Sus scrofa: one gene and its partner. The protein of the gene in region 1 interacts with the protein of each later gene in a biochemical or structural test. Links are inferred from orthologs where the notes say so. Each region holds a gene or a part of one and is shown on either strand. Other genes may lie near its edges.

Evidence for each region.
Region 2: the proteins of CRY2 (region 1) and FBXL3 form a complex in vitro, tested with the Homo sapiens proteins (2 studies listed by BioGRID, with this or other methods). The link is inferred for Sus scrofa from reciprocal best matches to the Homo sapiens genes CRY2 and FBXL3.

The regions. Positions count from the first base shown.
Region 1 is NC_010444.4:16,618,066-16,621,812, forward strand, and holds the start of CRY2 (cryptochrome-2), read right to left. Parts: upstream 2,316-3,747; 5' UTR 2,257-2,315; coding exon 2,039-2,256; intron 1-2,038. UniProt on the Homo sapiens protein: Transcriptional repressor which forms a core component of the circadian clock.
Region 2 is NC_010453.5:49,149,154-49,152,900, forward strand, and holds the start of FBXL3 (F-box/LRR-repeat protein 3), read right to left. Parts: upstream 2,228-3,747; 5' UTR 1,520-2,227; intron 1-1,519. UniProt on the Homo sapiens protein: Substrate-recognition component of the SCF(FBXL3) E3 ubiquitin ligase complex involved in circadian rhythm function. Plays a key role in the maintenance of both the speed and the robustness of the circadian clock oscillation.

The sequences.
Region 1 (3,747 bases):
AGTGCCTGGCAGATATTAGGTGCTCATTAAACGCTCAATTAACATCTGCATTCCTACACAGCCTCTGACTTCAGGATTTGATATAGGCATCTGAGCTGCCACATTCTTTTTCTTTTACTCACTCAACAGCACAATTACAAAAGGGTGACCCACAAAAATCTCTAAATACCTAGTTTCTAGAGAATCTGAGTTTAATAAGCAACAGAGGTTTTGTTGTTGGTTTTTTTTTTTTTGTCTTTTTAGGGCCACGCTTGCGGCATTTGGAGGTTCCCAGGCTAGGGGTCAAATAGGAGCTGTAACTGCCAGCCTAAGCCATAGCCACAGCAATGCCAGATCCGAGCCGCATCTGTGACCTACACCACAGCTGACGGCAATGCTGGATCCTCAACCCACTGAGCGAAGCCAGGGATCCTTAACCACCGAGCCACAATGGGACCACCTGTTGTTGATTTTTAATCTCCACTACTGCAAAGGAACAGGCAATTTTATGCCACATTCCTCAAATCCCATAAAAGAAGAAACTCCTTGACAATGTAACAAACAAGTAGTCTGGAGTCTAATTACTCTGCTCTGACTGGCACACTGCCATCAGGAGAGGGGCAAAGTCTGAGGCTTAGTCCAAGCTAAGTCCACACTAGGGATGGCTGGTCATTTGAGGATGTTTGTCAGCCCAACCTCCTATCTAGAGAAACTGGAGCAAGGGCCGAGTAATAGAGCAGACTGAAAACTGTGTGGGCAGGCTCTCCACAGAACTATCTTTAGCTGTTCCCTCCATATAAATGGGGCAGGAGGGGGGCATTTAATAGACCCACTGCTAGAAGCACTCACTCTCCTAGCAGGGCACACACCTTGGAGAGGAAAGAATGGGGAGCCAGCGTATCCTGGGAATAACTCTGCCCCTCAGTGCAACAAGGCCACAAGCAAACACCTCCAGAACAATGCAAACAAACTAGAGGACGACTGCCAGACTTGTTAAAGAGAGACGGGTACACAATGTCTCAGAACACCTTTGTTTTAAACACTGGTTATGGAGAAAACACATCAACTACCTGTTAAACTTTTCCCATGATCCTGGGAGTCATCAAAGAGGGCCCCTTGGTATCACAGCTTGCCTGCTCCCAAATCTTAGCACATCAGCTGACAAGAGTCTAATCTACAGGCTCAACTGTCCTTTAAAATCAATCTCAAGAGAAGAGGAGGAAGTAAGGGACTCTTTGTTTCTTTTTCTTCTTCCTCCCCCCTCCTGCTTTTTTCCTTAGCAAGCCCATAGCTGCTGAGGGAATTCTCCAAAATAGGTTAAGTACTGCTGTCTGCTCTCTAGCCCAGGACACAGAGTGCCTCTCAATGAACGTGCCCTTGAGAGCATGTTCTTTTATTTACAATAAAGGAGCAAAGGCACCTGCCCTACCTAATGCTAAGTCAGAGTCTCTAGACACCTCCAGAGACTGGATGATCTTGGTGGAAGGAAGACAGGATAGGTGAAAAAATGAATTCACACAAACCAGAGGCTTAAGCTTAAGACGACCTTCAGGAGCGCTCTTGAAGAATGCAGGTGTCTGCCGTGCTATTTCAGAAACCTGTCCCGGCCCTCATACCGCAATAGCTCCCGTCCTCCCCTCCCTGAGCACAACCCTAAGAACCCTAGACCAGGAGTCCCTGTTCTGCCACTCGCCGGCTGCAAGTCCTTGGGCAGGTCAACTTTGTATCTCTAAGACTCCAGAGTCTCATCGGTACAATGAGGATCATGATTTTTGTTTCACGGGGACGTCGTGAGGACCAAAAGGGATAACACAGTGAGAACGCGCCGTGCCAGAGGTTGAGCCCTGGCCCACCCAAGCCCTAACTATGGGACTAATTGCTACCCACGTCGCGGCTTCTCCCCACTGGAGACTCAGCTGCGCCTCCCTGCCCCATCTCTTTCAGGTCGGGGGCTTTCAGCAGAGGGGACTGGGGCCAGAGCCTCCCCCCTCTTAGGGTACGTGCCTCAGAGGCTAGACTGCGCTCCCCGGACCCGCAAACCCGCCCGGGGCCCCCTCACCTCCACCGGTTGATCCCGACTGAAGAGGAGGCCGCGAACCAAGGGTCGAGGATGTAAACACAGCGCACGCAGTGCGCCCCGCGAACCGCCGCCAGCAGCGCCGGGTTGTCGTGGAGCCGCAGCCCCTTGCGGAACCAGTGCACCGAAGAGGCGCCTTCCGCGCCGGCAGCGGGAGCCGGGGAGGACGCCGCAGCGGTCGCCACAGCCGCCGCCATCATTGCCTGGACTGCTCTGACTGCGGCCGCTCCGCCCCCGTCGGCGCCGCGAGCCCGGCCCCCAGCTGGCCCAGTGACCTATGACGCGCCGCTACTCTTTGGAGCCCCGCCCTCAGGCCCTGGAGCGCCTCTGCTATTGGCTGGGCGCCTCCTGCCGGGCGATTGGTTAGAGGCACCATGTCTGGCCCCGCCTCCTCACGTTCCCACCATGTGTGGGCCCTGCCGGGAGGAGCCGGAGGGCTGGGCTAGTGACGCAGGCTGGCGGTCCCCAAGGAGGTCTGGGCGTGGACCAAGTCCGAGGAACGGCGGAGCTCAGCTTCCTTTTTTAGGGCCTGGCGCTGGAAGCTGTGTGGGCTGGCGAGGGTTGCTGTGACTCCAGCAAATGACTTAAAAGGACAGACCACCGGCTGTCCTACATCATCTTCGTCATCAATATAATCATCTACCACACTCTATACATACATCATTACAGCATTCTAATACAGCTTCCATTAGATGCCAACCAACGTGATAATACCCTTACGCTGCTGTCTCCTTTACTGCTGTAAACTCAGACGAGTTGCATTCTTTCAACAAACCCTAGTGAAAGAGCTGTTTTCATTTTACCGACAAAGAAAACCGAGGCTGCTGCAGGTTGAGTAACATGCTCAATATCATACAGCTAATACTTCTACCAGGATTATTCAGAATCTGAAGTTTCTGCTTTTATCCACAATACTACACCTCTGTCAGCGTTGAGCAACTTGGCATTTACAAGTAGTAGAGTCCAAAGTGTGGGCCCTGATGTGCTGCAGTAGAGGGGTTGGGATTAGGGACTGGAATTGTGGAGAATGTGGGTTGAGATTGTAATTAGGTCATCATTGGAATTCCCAGTTTGTGGCTCAGCGGTAATGAACCCGACTAGTATCCAAGAGGATGAGGGTTTGATCCCTGGGCTTGCTCAGTGGGTTAAGATCTGGTGTTGCTGTGAACTGTGATGTAGGCTGCAGACGCGGCTCAGATCCTGAGTTGCTGTGGCTAGCAGTAGATCCGATTCAGCTCCTAGCCTGGGAACCTCCAAACTCTGCAGATATGCTCTAAAAAGCAAGAGGGAAAAAAAAAAGCCATCACATGAATTTTTCTTTTAGTTCTGTCATAGACTTAGGGGTAACTCTGAGTGTAAAGGACTGAACTGGAGTCTGTGTGGGGTTCAGAGATGTGGAGGATATTCCCCACGCGTCCCCAAGAGAGCCAGGTGGAGCCCTCTTCTGGAGTCGAGCACAGGGCTTGCTGATTGACTGAATGAGTGAATGATAGGAGAAGCCTGTAAACACCCCCACTGATGTGTTGATGGTGGGCTAAGCTAGCCTGGAGCTTTGGCATTATCAAATGGAGAGGCCGTCTCAATTTGGCTCTAGGTGGCACCCTTCCTGAATTTGGGAATGAGCAATGAAGGAAGTTAGCAATTTAATCCGCAAGTGAGTGGCACTAATTGGCACAACTGTCTAAACCACA
Region 2 (3,747 bases), on another chromosome or scaffold:
TGCAGAAGAGAAGCTGCGCCATCAATGTCTAAGAGACTCTGTGGAGCACCTACACCTCTGTAGAGCACCTAGCATACTTGGCCTCTTTACGGCTCTGGGAGTTCACTTCAAACTACAACTTTTCCCGGCTCCAAACAACTAATGCCACTTCGGCCACTAAAAGTGTTTGGTGAGGGACTGATGCTACTAAGAAGCATCAAAAAGTAAACTAAGGAGTTGCCATTGTGGTTCAGTGGAAACAAATTCCATTAGGAACCATGAGGATGAGGGTTCCATGACTGGCCTCCGCTCACTGGGTTAACTATAGGGTGATGTCATGAGCTAAGGTGCAGGTCGCAGACGTGGTTTGGATCCTGCGTTGCTGTGGCTGTGGTGTAGGCTGGCAGCTGTAGCTGATTCAACCCCTGGCCTGGGAACTTCCATATGCTGTGGGTGTGGCTCTAAAAAGACAAAAAAAAAAAAAAAAAAAAAGGCGAACTAACAGTTTCTGGCCTAGTCGGGCAGCACAGGGAGTTACAGAATTAACTCCTCACATTTCCGGAGTCTCTGAAAGAAGCAGTCAACTTGTTCATCAAATGAAGAGCCTAAGAGAACACTCAGCCATGTGTCCCTCATTGTATTAGGCACTTTTAGCACCCTGCACTTGCAGTGATTTTAAAAGCCCTTTTGTATTTAGCTCTAAAAAGTCTTTCATAATATCAAAATTAGTATGCATTCTTTGGCTGAAATACAAGAGTAAAACATAAAACAGTGCAGAGACTAACTCAGAAATAAATGGTATCAGAGAGTGTGGTAGTGAAAATCTGTTTAGCGGTCATTTGTAGATAATTGGGAATTGACGGCATTTTTGTAAAGATTTCAGGGATAGGAAGACTCTGAAAGATCTGGGCCGCAATGGACAGGATCAGAAAATAACAGTCATCTCATCTCTTAGCTTGGAGGTGCAGGCCCATCATTTAATGGGTTGCCTCCTGTTCCATGTCTGCAATCCCACCTGAAAGGGCTGCTCTCGCTCATAGCAGGCGGGAAGCAGCCCATCACAAGTTGACCAAGTTTTCCACCCGGGGACGCGCGCAGGGGTGTCCCCTCCTCCCGCGCCACTCCCGAAAATAGGCTTTCCCAGACATTTCTCCTGCGCCCTACCCAGGGCAGTCTGTTTTGACACCTTAAAGTCTCTTTTCTCACGCTACAAGCACGGCCGTAACAGACACCGGGAAGAGCCTGGCAGAACAAGAGCTCCACGGTGCCGGTCCCCAGCCCCCGCCGAGGGTAACAAAGCCGACGGCAGGGGCGGCGCTGTCGCGGGAAGGCTGCAAGCGGCCGCCGCACACACACCACGCCTTTTTGACTTGTTTTGAAGCAGACACGGGGCAACGCCCCCGAGCAGGCTCCACCGCCCGGGCGCCGCGCCCCGCCCCGCGCTCCCGAGGGGCGGCCGGCGCGCGCCCGGGACCCCCTCTCCCTGTCGGCCCGCCCCGGCGCGGGCCAAGGTCCGAAGGCCCCGGCCCTCCAACGTTACCTGCTGCCAGGGGCGGCTTCCCCAACACAGCACCCCGGGCTCCGGGGGCGGCTGGTCCCGTGGCTCTCACATGAGGCCCCCGGGGCCCCGCGCCTCGCGCTCCCGCCTCCGCCGCCCCCCGCGCTCCGCTCGCATCCGAGGCGCTGGTCCCGGGGCGGGCGCCAACTCGGCTCCACCTTTGCGGCTCTGACGGCCGAGGGAAAAGCCTCTCTTCTCAGTCCCGCGCGGCCTGCGTGCTTCTGCCGGGACCCCCAGTCCCCTCAAGAGCCGCCTTCAGCGAGCTGCGAGCCCCGCGTAGTTACCCCTGCACCGCGGGCCCAGACACCGAGTCCAAAATGGCGCCCGGACTGACGGCCGCGCGCTTCCCCCGGCGCGTCTCCGTCGAGGGGGGCGGGCGCGTGTCCGCCGCGGCGCGTCCGCGGAGGGCGGGGTCGGGGGCTGGAGGGGGCCGCGCCCAAGCGGGAGCGCGCGCCACCCCGCCCGCCTCGGTGCTTCGTCCTTCTGGTTCCGGGCGGAGTGTCGGCTGCTTTCCTCTCTCTGATGAGACTGCGGCTTTTAGAGGGTTTTTCGTCTTGCAGCGAATGTGGGAGGGCTGGAGCCAGCTAGATGCCCAGGAGACTTTCAACGGTGGAAAGCGGAAAGTTTGAGGAGGTGGAGCAGCAAGAAGAAAGGAGCGAGAGTCTTTAGGGCCGGCCTTAGCCCAGCAGCTGGTTCCGGGCTCGGGGGATAAACAGCAGCTGCTGCAGTTGACACACCTCCGCGCGCCAGGCGGGGCCTCAGAAGGCCACGCCCGCCCCGCGTAACCCAAGTGGGTAAAATACGGGCTCTAATGATACACGCCTTGTATCCCTTAACGGGTATGTCATAATAATATACATCGTGTACACATACGGTGTTTTCATAAACTGCGGGAAATTAAAGCAAAGTGATGACAGTGTTAACGTTGGGATTACAGATGATTTTGATGATGATGATTTATAAATTTTAAAGTATTTTTATTTTTTCAATTTTCCTAAAAATGATTTTTGTCATCAGGGTTATTACTGTTTAACAATCGCCTTTAGGGAATTCCCCTGTTGCTCAGCGGTAACTCGAACCCGACTAGTTTCCATGAGCCCTCGGGTTCCACCCCTGGCCTGCTCAGTGGGTTAAGGATTCCGCGATGTGGTAAGCTGCGTGTAGGTCGCAGCCCTTGCTGCTATCTGGGGTTACTGTGGCTGTGGTGTAGACCAGCAGTGGCAGCTCGGGTTGGACCCTTAGCCTGGGAACTTCCCTATGCCGCGGGCCCGCCCCTGAAAAAACAACAACAAAAACAGCTTTATAAAGTAAATAGACTCCTGAAGTTTATAAATAGCTTTCTGAAACACAATGAGGAAAGTGTAAAGGACTAGATGTCTGCTTAAAACTCTGGTGAAACCTTTGGTAAACAGAGATATGTGTGTAACTGCTACCTAGTTTGTTTTAAAGTTTTAATTTTTGAATACTAGGTTTTCTTAAAGTTAGAACTGTCCTTAGTTGCAAAATCATAACGTGAGTCATGCATCCTCTCTCCTTCGAAAATAAAGCAAGTAGTTTTCCATCCAAATATGTCTTTTTGAATATCTGACCCATGTGTAGGAGACTGGAAGACTGTGATGCCCGCTCTTCTATGACTCCCCCCTCCCCAGATTGAGCTAGGAAGCCTTGTGTAAAATTTATGGTACTCTTCAATGGGGGGAAGGGAGGAAATGCCGCTGTTCTGTTAGGGCTTGGCTGTCTGATCAGCAAGTCAAACTGCACGAAGTTTCTAGAAACAAAATAATGTGGCTGTACCTGCACTGCAACATTGTTTAGGTGCCTCTGTGACTGGATGATAAAGGACAATAGGAAGACAGGCAGTGATAATTATTAGAGGAAGAAAAACAAGAAAATACAGGTCCATTTATTTAAAGGGATGTTAACAGAATAAATGATCAGCAAACCACATTAAACCAAATCAGCAAACATAACCAGTATATATTAATATATCACATTAAAACTTTCACACTCCAAATGTATCCCTTTCTTCGTTTGGTCTTTTTTTTTTTTTTTTTTTTAGGGCCACACCCTCAGCATATGGATGTTCCCAGACTGGGGGTCGAATCAGAGCTACAGCTGCCGGCCTACGCCAGAGCCACAGCAACGCCGAATCCAAGCCGAGTCTGCAACCTACACCACAGCTCACGGCAACACCGGATCGTTAACCCACT